Nothobranchius furzeri: one gene and its partner. The protein of the gene in region 2 binds, or shares a complex with, the protein of the main gene of each other region. Links are inferred from orthologs where the notes say so. Each region holds a gene or a part of one and is shown on either strand. Other genes may lie near its edges.

Region 1 (5,697 bases), on a different chromosome or scaffold from region 2:
ACATCGTCGGCTTCACCCTCACGTCGGCCTCTGTGGGGAACATGGTGATGATTTCAATCGATCGTTACGTTGCTATTTGTTATCCTCTGCAATACCCCTCTAAGGTCACCCGTAGCCGAGTCCAGGTGTCTGTGATATTGTGCTGGTTCTGCTCGCTCCTCTACAACGGGCTCATCTTGAAGGAGCACCTCAGGCAGCCAGACAGATACAACTCCTGCTACGGGGAGTGTTTGGTGGTGATCAGCTACATCTGTGGGACCATCGACCTCGTGATCACCTTTATTGTGCCTTGCTCAGTCATAGTGCTTCTATATGTCAGAGTATTTGTCGTGGCGGTGTCTCAGGCTCGGGCCACGCAGTCTCATGTCACACCTGCAGTTGGCCTGGGGAAAATCACGGCACAGAAATCTGAGAGGAAAGCAGCCAGGACCCTCGGTGTTGTGATATTAGTCTTCCTACTGGCTTTCTGTCCTTATTACTATCCGTCTCTTGCAGGACGAGACATCTCAAACAACTCGTCCTCGTGGGCCATTGTGTCCTGGATGCTGTATTTTAATTCTTGCTTGAACCCTCTCATATATGCGTTTTTTTACCCGTGGTTTAGGAAAACTACTCATTTAATCGTCACCCTGAAAATACTAAAACAGGACTCATCTCAGATCAACATATTTTAAATGTTAGCACATCAGACAGCTGGTGGGAGGTGATGCACATTTAGGCTGCAGCTCAGATTTGATTTCTTGGGACTATTTAAAACGTGGGCCATGCAACCTGCTGTTAGGATTCATTAGAGAAGATATGTGCAACTCAAGAATCTTGTATTAGAAAATAATTACTCCTGTATGTATATATATATATATAATGCATATCTGTGCAGCATGCATGCATGTTTTTACATTAACTAATAGATTTATGCAATAAATCATCTACCTAAAAAGTGTTTATATTGTTTCTGCATTTAAATGTTTTAGGATATTCTCTATTTAAACTGATTTCTTTTATCAATATGTGCAAAAAACTGTGTAAGGATGTAAGAATCTGGATCAACCGATGGCTAAAACCTCTTTTCCATAACTTTCTGACTTCATCAAATTATATTTTATACTTTGAACAACTATTGATGGTTGGACAGAAATTAGTTTTAATTCCAAATAACTAATGTTCATATGGTGTACACATAGCAGAAATAACTCATATAGACACTGCAACAAACACAAATTGAGTGCAATAATGAATGCTTTTGAAAACTGTCTACATGGAGACACTAATGAAGGTAAATTCAGGTTTTTTTTCTGTATAAATATTTTAATACATGTTAAAAGCAAACTTTGGTTAAAGGAAACGAGATACTTGAACAAATTAAAACAACATATATGAAGTCCTCATCGCTTGGACTGAGAGTGAAGCCCTCTGACCTCTGCAAAAAATAAATAATAAAATAAAACATTTAATCATGTTACAAATGAAATATTTAGTGTTTTATAACTAAAACAAACTACAGAACTGTCAATAATATAATTTTCCTTGTAGATTTTGAGATTTAATATTTTGCAAAAAAAAAAAAAAGGTACCAACAGTTTTTATGAATAATTATAACAACCTGGGATTTCGTGCGGCCAGAAGTCATCACAAGAAGGGCAGTGTGGCTCGGTTCTGCCTTTGAAGTATCTGGCCACACACGGGCTGTGGATTTTTATTCCACATGAGGGGTTGTCGCAAATTTGGCACTTGGGGAAAAGAAATAAAAGAAAATAAATATTGTTTATAATAAAAAGCCTTTTAATGTTACATTTGAATATTACAGCACTTTTGGTCATGATTCAAACTTTGTCCAAGTCTAATTTCTTAACATGAATTAGATTGCTCAATTCATTGCATTTTAATCACATTTACGATCTGAGTTTTGAACGATTATGAAAACAACGAGCCGATTATTTACTCCTCCCTTGTGGTTTACTCCGAGTTGCAAATTGAGTGCACCTCTAAGCAGCGTTGACAACTTTTAGCAACTTTGTGGCTGTTTCTAACCGCTTTTCCCTTCTTTTACTTGTTTTCTAAAAGTACCTACTGAACTATCTAGAAACATTTCTAGTAACCCTTAGCTACTTTCTGGATAACTGTCATCGATATTTCCTGCAGGATAGGAAAACACTCAGCCATCTCTCCGGACCGGCCGTCTGGAGATTAGAAAAGGGAATGATGCAGCGATGTGTCGGTCGCAAACGAAACGGCTCTCAGAGCCGGCTTCCTCACAGGTTAACCGGATCGACACACACTGGCTCCTGAGCCGCAAAACGTACACTCGTGGCACGCTGTACACGCACACACACACAGTGTGCCCCTGATTGCCGTGAGACCAGGAGAGGATGTGTGTGATCGCACCTCCAATCGCTGTAAAAGCAGGGAGAGGGGTGGCAGGTGCAAAATACCTGTGACAGTTATTACATTAACTGATGGGACCTGCCAACAAATAGTATAGAAATAAGTTAGAAATAGATAAAAATAACTTTCTCATGCTGATAATCATTCATCATTCACCTCTCAGCTCAGTGACCTAGTGGTAGAGTGTCCACCCTAAGACTAGGAGATCAGGGTCCGATTCCTGGTCGGGTCAAACCAAAGACTTTGAAAAAAATGGGACCCAATGCCTCCCTGCTTGACACTCAGCATTAAGGGGCTGGACTGGGGGGTTAAACCACCAAATGGTTCCTGAGCGCGGCTGTGTCTGCAGCTCACCGCTCCCACAGGGGATGGGTCAAAGGCGGAGAGCAAATGTCGCACACACATCAGTGTGTGTGACAACTGATGGGACTTTAAAGAGCAAGTCACCCCCTACAAGAAACTTACTTCACTCCCACTTCATGTTTGAAAAATGCAACAAATGCTGTTGCCTGGCAGACCGAGAGGGCGGAGCCGCTAACAAATACACACACACACACAGGCTCACAACGGCATTGTGACATCATAATGTACCAGATGACATCATAGCATACCTCTTAGCCAATAGCGGTGGCAGATTTAAATTCAATTACAGTGCAGAATTTTTCCCTGACGACGGCACAACACTGACAGTTATAGGCAGAATATTTGAATTTTAACCAAGATGCACTGAACTGCCAAATTATTGAGGACATGTGTCTGCAGCACGATTAGACACTCCTTTAAATAGTTTATCAGCAAAAAAAAATGTGATTTGGGGGTGACTTGCTCTTTAACTTCATCTCTCTGAATGACACATTGCTCCTGTACTCTCCCCTACAGTACCGCTGGAGGACCAAATAATTCTTATAGAAAATTTTGCGGAAGTTCACTACGACATAGATGTTTATATGTTTTATATATTTATTTTATATAATAAATGTACTTTATAACTCTTGCTGTCAGTATTTGCAAGATACTGGTTGGATGTTTGGGTCTGCATTGGGTAAGCTTAATCAATCAATCAATCAATCAATCAATACTTTATTAATCCCAGAGGGAAATTAGAGTTTCAGTAAACAAGTTCAAATTCAGCCTAAACCCTTTCGGTCATAAACGATGAGCAAGTGTATTTGCTCTGCATCGGCTGAGTCTCCACTTAAAGCCGCTGACATGGACACGCTTGCTGCCACCTGTCTCCATTCACTGCTGGCTGGTGAATAACAGTGTCCAAAACGTCATCATCTTGCTTCATTCAGATTAATTTATTCTTCTTCTCAGTGATATTCCATCTTCAAATTAATTTCAATTATCAAAATACAAAAAATGATCCAAAACAGACAGAAGATTTTACCAGGATGAACCCATAGAGTTGGCGGTTAAAAGCTTGTTTGCTCTGTCCATATAACAACACCTGTACTTCCTCCCTATATGGTACCATCAATTACCTCTAGAAGGACATCTAGTGAACAAAAATAAGAACTGGTTAAATGGTTGTTACAGGCTCTTAGATACTAGGAATCTGGAGTTTTGTGATTATCTTGTTTCTTTATTTTTTTTCTCTCTGATTGTGCCCTGTGCAAATTTATGACAATAAATAAATAAATACACTCAACATTAAATAATCAAGATCTCAATTTCAGTCAAAATAATTGCGATTATCATTTTTGCCATAGCCGAGCAGCCCTAGTATTAATACCTAAATAATTTCAGGAATTTGCCACCCGAGCATAGAGACAACAGAAAAAGGTTGTATGACGTAAAAAGGGAACAATTACCTGAAAAGCAACGCTGTGACAGATGTAGCACATCTTGACCTGATCTTGATACATGGCACGAATGTATGGCTCCATCTCTATGATGCACCGAGTGGACAGAGTGTACTCCCCTCGTTTCTAAGGGGGTAAACAACACTGAATCACACGAAAAACACAGCAAGAAGGGAACAAACTGCTTTAATATAATCTCTTAAGTCATTGTTCAACTCAGACTACGAGAGACTTGTTTAGATCTGTTATTTTATATATAATCTAGCTGTGAAAAAGCATTTTTATCCTGAAGTCTGTGTGCAGAGAACTGGAAACCAAATCTAAATGGATAAACTTTATTCCTTTCAGTGTGGCAGACGGAGGTAATGTGTTTTTGTGGGATGCATTCAAGCTCAATTTAAAGTTTGTCTGAAAAATATAAATATGTACACTGAATTTTAAAACAATGCTTGCTATTTAATAACAGTCAACAACTTGGTGTAACAGTTTCTCACACACAACTACAAATTCACACACAAATTCTATATTGTTAGAAAAAATAAGAGCAGAATCAGATGCAGTTTCCCCAAGGAATTTTCCCAGCTGTGGCGGTGGGTGGGGGTGGGGAGTGATTGTGACACGTCTCTAAATAAAGTAAAATTTTCCAGTGCAGTGTGGAGACAACCCATAGAAGCACTGATTTGATCTCATTTCAGAGAAAAATAGAACAGGTTAGATGCACCTAATAAATAAAATTACAAACAAACTCAGGAATCTGTTTCTTTGCTTCCCTGTTCTGGTGCTGAGAACATCACTAATGCGGATCAAAGGAGATGCACAGATGAATGCACCTCTTATTTATTATTTGGAGACTACATTTACTGCAGCTGGCAGAGGTAGAGATTTTTTCTATTGATACACGTAATTTACAGAATCATTTTAAATGTTAATAGGGGAAGACTGCAGGAGGGAGCGGTAAAATACAGGGGGTCCCCAGCAAAAACAAGAAACTACGAGTCTGACGAAACCCGCTGGTTTTCCATCAGGCAGTCACGGGGCAGCTCCAACGACCCAGTGGCTGTGCTGGGTCAGTGTTATCGAGCTCAGTCCGGCTCGGCCGTGAACGAGCCGAGGCGACGTCGTGCTCTGCTTAAGAAGAAGCGTTATTTTCCCGCTTCAGAAGAAGCGTCCAACGTGTTTTTACGCTTTCTCCGAGACATGTCACGTCGCTAAGTTGTTAGCGCCGCACGCTAACACGTCAATAGTGCAACGTAGCCTGCTGGAGGTTTTAAGGGTTCAGATGAAACACCCGACCGCTCAGGCTGCTCACACATCGATCTTAAGTTGTCGCTGTTGCGCTCACGCCGTAATACAGTATTAGATGCGGTTAAAGTCAGACATGAAAAAATAAATCAATTTTACATGAATAAGTGATGCTTAGCCTGGTGGGGGGAGGAAACCCTGTCACTCGTTTATCTTAATGCTATTGAAACACATAAACCAAAAAGCATTATATCCACTGCTACCTTTC
Region 2 (5,564 bases):
CTGAGCCAAAGGAGAGCGGTGTGTGTGTCCCTGTGGCGTGTCCGCAGCTTCTCTTCTTTCATGTTCATCAGGTTGTTCATGTCATTGAGCTTCTTCTGCAAGCCTGGCATTAAAATAATAAAATCCTAGCAATGCCGTCTGTTATTTTAATCATTAAATGTAAAGTCTGTTTAGTTTTAAACTCACTTCTGGACTCTGCGATGACGTTGTCCCTCTCCCTGCGCAGGTCGGCCTTTTCCGCTTCAATCCTGGCTGTCCTCTCCTGGATCTCCTTAAGTTCCACACTAATAGCAGAAATCAGCAGGGTGGTGTCTAGTTGGTCTCCGAGCTTGTCCAGCTCCACCTTCAGGTCTTCGATGGTCCGTCTAGTGTTGACGATTCTTTTCTGGTGGTCTTCCTCTTCAATCTGCTTCATCCTCAGTGCCTGTTTAATGTCATCAATCTGCAGAGGAGAGATGAGCCACAAGGATGACGTTATTTCAAACATTTAATTGTTACTTTTTTTTTCCTCTTCTTTGAGCAACACCCCCCCCCCCCCCCACCCCACCACCACCACCACCTCTTTATGTTTTCGATCCAGCTGATCTTGTTTCTGCTTGCACTTCTGAGAAGCTTCTTTGATAGCAGCAGTCTGAAACACACATGGTTAGTTTAACTTAATGTTCATGTAACAGATTTAGACAGCAAGCCACCTTCGGTCACCTTAGCTTTCATTTCTGCCTCAATGGGCTTCAGCTTTTCATCAATCTGCTGGATTTTCTTCAGCATGGGCGCCTGGGCTTGCTTCAGGGTCAAAAGCTGCTTTTTGGCTTCTTCTCGCTCCTTCTTCACACCCTCCAGCTCCTTACGAGTGGTTTCATACTCCTGATATCAAAGCCAAAGAGGGTAATCAGATTACAAACTGGATTTGTTTCCACAGTTTGTGCAGAGTGCTTTATGTGAATAACTCACCACCCACGGTTTCTTCTTCTCCAGCAGCTCGATGACGTCAAGATGCCGCTTTTTTTCATAGTAGCGGTTGACATCGAGCTTGTTCCTCTCATTCCTCTGCTTGGCCTTTTCCAGGAAACTCGTCTTCTCCTTCAAGACGTTCTACAGACAAACATCCCGCCAAAACCGCAGCGAAACGATGAGTTGCATCTTTCACAACAGCAAACATGTAATTATCATGTAACAACAATCCAGCTGACATAGCTGAGATCTCAACGGGAATTAGATTATCTAAACAGTTATTCCCAAAAAAAAACTGTTACACAAATAAAATAAAGTTTCACCTCCAGTTCTCGTTCTTTGCTGCGGAAGTTTTTAAGCTCACAGTGGTACTCGTACATTTCTGGTGGTCCAACCGACTTCTCGGTTGCCTCAAGCAACTCAATTTGGGACATTTTTGCAAACTCTCCAACTTTTTCCTGTGACAGAACAGAGAAGAAGTTAGAAAATGAAGATTTCTGACACGTTTTACTTTGCACAAGTGAAGCACTAAAGTTAAAGTCACATAGTCATCATTACACACTGGTGAAATTCATCTGCACATTTGACCTATCCCCATGGAGGGGAGTGGTGAGCAGCAGCGGTGGCTGCGCTTGGAAACTATTTGGTGGTTTAACCCCCAATCCAACCTCTTAAAGCTGAGTGTCAAGCAGGGATGTACTGGGTCCCAGTTTTAAAGTTTTTGGTATGACCCGACCGGGAATCCAATCCCTGATCTCCCAGTCCCAGAACAGACACTCTGCCACTAGGCCACTGAGCTAGATCACATCTAGAAAACCTACCTGAGGGAGGAACTGGCAGAGGTTGCTGACTTGAATTTGCAGAGTCCTGACCTCTTCTTCTACTTGTTTCAGGCTGCAGTGTCTTCCATTCAGCATCCAAAGTGACTGATTGTTCTCTACATGGATCTCTCTGTTAATTATCACATTACCTCCATTTTTGTACCTGTAGAGGCAAAAACAGACATCATTTCATGCAAGCATGTCTAATGTTATCTGGCTGGTCAACCATTAGCTTGGTACTTGTTATGCAAGAGCATCAATCTGGAATTTAGATTAAAAATACAAAAAGTGTAATAGAGGAAAATCTATGTAAAGTAACTTACAGTTCAATCTCAATAGAGCCTTTCTTGCAGCCACGTTTGACATAGAGCCCAACCTGCATAAATAATCTAAATCAATTTATTTAACCATTAAAAGCTTGTAGCAATCATGACTCTGTGGTGCATAAACAACAGAAATTAAATAGTTTCTGCAAATGTTTATATGTCTTTATTACCAGTGTGATTTTAACAAACCAATAAAAATCTTGACTCCATCGCTTTCTTAAATGGTCTTTTTCAGAATAAATCAAGTAGACCAGTGCAGGTGGTTTGTGTACCTTGTCTCCTCTGCCCAGAATTGCTGTCTTTCCAGCCAGACCCAGGCAGATGGCACATACAATGCTGGACTTCCCAGTCCCGTTAGCTCCAACAATCATGTTCAGATTGGATCCCGGATGGACCACAGAGAAGTCATACGTTCTGTCAGTGGACAGAAAACACATTTAGGAGTTTTCGGTTATGTCACACTGCGCAAAATGTTATCTTATATAGCTAATTTTACACAAAACATTGTATTTATTGTATCACTATATTTAAACAGCTAAAATTGAGCCGTTAAACCACTAATTGTATGCTAGCTGTTCACTTCTGTGCGCAAACTACGTGATCAAAAGGTTTAAAACTTTATAAAACAACAAATGGTGCTATTATAAGCTTGTATGTTATCTAAGAGCACAATGTGATGTTTGCTGGCTACCGGTAGAACTCTTGACAGTTAAGGAACTACAACTTACAGGAAGTTTCTCATCGTGATGCGAAGGATGGAACCCTCAACAAATGTACCAACGCCTCCGGCAATATCCGAGTGTCCACCTCTGAACACGCTTGCTCTGCTCGCAGAAGTCTGCGTGTTTCTGCTAATTTGACTTAATCTCGGTCTTTTACTTGATTCGCCCATAGCGACTAAACAAAATTCTCTTCGCGGCTACGGTTCGGCTACGATCACGTTGCTTATTCTCGCGCGTTTTGCTGAGCTTTTAAGAGGTCACATGTACATAAAAATGTTAACGCTAACTATCACGAGAACATGTATGAAAGTAAAACAGGAACACGGATATGCTTGTGTAATTTTTTTTATGCTTGTGTAGTTTTTGCTCATAAAAAAGTCCGAATTTGTCTCTAATGGCCAATTTTAGCATTTGCATGACTACATGCCATGGTGCTGTAAGCTGTATGCACAGGCCAATAATACTATAGCACGTAAGTTTTTGTTCACCAGTTAAGGTGGCTTTATTTAAAGCATATTGTACTCCGCTTTATACAGCCCAACTGTGGTTGAGCAGTATTTTTGGTTTTGTTGGGCAGTAATTTTGATCTTACAATCAAAGCAGCATGAATAAGCTGCATGTTGCATTCAATGATGCCTTAAGAATCATACTCAAAATACCCAGAGGGGGCAGTGCCAGTCAGATGTTTGTAACAGCAGGCATTTGTACTTTAAAGCTCTTTTAAGAAAACTAATGTTCACTTTTAGAGAACGACTGGATAGCTCTGCCAACAGTATAATTTTAGCAATCACTGATCCTGCTGTGAGCATTTGTCGCTATTTGTCCAGTATAAGGAAACACTGGCTGAAGTGTTTGTGTGGTTACTCTTGTGTGGAACATCTTTATAGTAAGTTTTTTTAAATAGATTTAGATGTTTATGCTTTTATCTTATTTGTTTTTAATGTTTTGTTTTATTTATTTATTTTTTAATCTGGACATAAGAGTCTGTCAATAAAGATCATCCATCCATCCATCTTTATCTATACAAATGAAAGCCACTTTTGTTTCACCATTTCCTAACATGCGGGTCTCGTGGCTTCTTTTCGGCTGTGGTGAGATCAGAATCGCCTCTTTACTCATTGTTCTTACAGGTAAAGCTTTAAGGCGAACCTCAAGCCGACCCAGAACTAGTATATCTGATCAATTCATCACTTCTGACCACAGCACGAAATGTGGAGGCCCCATTAGGTGTTTGTCGCCGGCTGCTCATCGCCCCCATAGAAGCTCGCGAGCGCTTTTTTTATCATTTCTAGTCAGAGCAGAGCCAAACTCAGACCAGATCAAATAAGATCACTGTGTAGGTTTTTAAAAATATACACACATACAACATGCATACTCCACATTCACTCACACAGACGCTCGCTAACTAACAACACGCACACAACCAGCCACTCATGCTATGATGGCTATACACTTCCGGCTCTATATAAAAGGAAGCGCACGCGTTGCATCATGGGACATGGCCAGCTTGGAGACTGTCGCCATCTAGTGGTTTGTTGTGGGAAAAGTCCAACAATTTTTCTTTTTTGTTGTTGTTTTGTTTTGTTTAATTGATTAAATGTTTTGGATTAAAGCTTTGCAAGGCTAATCAAAATTAAAATACTAAATTGTTCCTTGTAAACGAGACACTTTTCTATTCTTTAGTATTAAAAAATATAAACAATTCAACAGTGAGAAATCAATGTGTGTGATTTTGTTTCATTATGTTTTTATTTGTTCTTGTAATTTTTCTGTCATTCAGTAAATCAAAGATTACTTGTAGAGCACTTTTCGTAACACAGAATACTTTACATCTGATAAAAAGTTACTAACAAATAAACCCACAATTGCTGGTCAAAATAACTTGAGAAATGATTGCCTGTAAATAATCTGAGCAACTGTGATCTTAATCTAACACAGATTGATTTAAATCCAGTAAACCACATAAATAAATTATATATATATATATATATATATATATATATATATATATATATATATATATATATATATATATATATATATATACATATATATATGTATGTATACACATATATAGAGAGAGAGAGAGAGAGAGAGAGAGAGAGAGAGAGAGAGAGAGAGAGAGAGAGAGAGAGAGAGAGAGAGAGAGAGAGAGAGAGAGAGAGAGAGAGAGAGAGCATTTCAAAATAACAGTGATAAAGTTGGAGTTTTTATTTTTCACAAATATACAGTGACATCCTTTTGGGAAAAAATCCTAGTTTAAAGAACTTTATTTTTTAGGGAATACCGGTACTCAAATAGATAATTCACACAAACACTTTTTTTGTTGGTGACTGAGTTTGTTGGGAGAGCAGTCATCTACATGCTTCGTTGGTTTTAAGTGGTATTTGCGTCTGTGGTAATTAACTAATCTAGCATCCTGTGTCCTGTGGGGGTTGTGAGGTAATCTTGAATGGCATAATGAGATTTCACTGTCTACAACCACTGATGACTGCTGCTACAGTACACCGAGTCTGCAAGGTTCCCCGTCAACAACAGTATGATGAGTGAGGACACCTGATTTCATCAATGGAATAAAACAGAAACACGGATAGTGGACAGAAGCAGTGGACCTCCACCATCCTGCTATGGAGGGGTCATCTGTGAAAAAAGTGAGTTCCTACACATTTTATTAGATTGTTTAGTTAACTTTTGATCCGTTTATGGTAACGTTTGTGCAAAGTCTGTAACTTTATGCAATTGTG

Evidence for each region. The genes of interacting proteins can lie anywhere in the genome.
Region 1: smc5 (region 2) and nsmce1 share a complex: the UniProt entries of both Homo sapiens proteins name them as parts of the SMC5-SMC6 complex. The link is inferred for Nothobranchius furzeri from reciprocal best matches to the Homo sapiens genes SMC5 and NSMCE1.

What each region holds. Positions count from the first base shown.
Region 1 is NC_091744.1:4,225,358-4,231,054, reverse strand, and holds the end of nsmce1 (non-structural maintenance of chromosomes element 1 homolog), read right to left. Parts: intron 4,314-5,697; coding exon 4,197-4,313; intron 1,728-4,196; coding exon 1,601-1,727; intron 1,418-1,600; coding exon 1,383-1,417; 3' UTR 1,260-1,382; downstream 1-1,259. Other genes in the region: trace amine-associated receptor 13c, read left to right, coding at 1-674. UniProt on the Homo sapiens protein: RING-type zinc finger-containing E3 ubiquitin ligase that assembles with melanoma antigen protein (MAGE) to catalyze the direct transfer of ubiquitin from E2 ubiquitin-conjugating enzyme to a specific substrate.
Region 2 is NC_091755.1:27,651,078-27,656,641, reverse strand, and holds the start of smc5 (structural maintenance of chromosomes protein 5), read right to left. Parts: upstream 3,193-5,564; 5' UTR 2,991-3,192; coding exon 2,827-2,990; intron 2,513-2,826; coding exon 2,371-2,512; intron 2,149-2,370; coding exon 2,096-2,148; intron 1,936-2,095; coding exon 1,773-1,935; intron 1,410-1,772; coding exon 1,275-1,409; intron 1,093-1,274; coding exon 952-1,092; intron 865-951; coding exon 703-864; intron 632-702; coding exon 560-631; intron 443-559; coding exon 187-442; intron 104-186; coding exon 1-103. UniProt on the Homo sapiens protein: Core component of the SMC5-SMC6 complex, a complex involved in repair of DNA double-strand breaks by homologous recombination.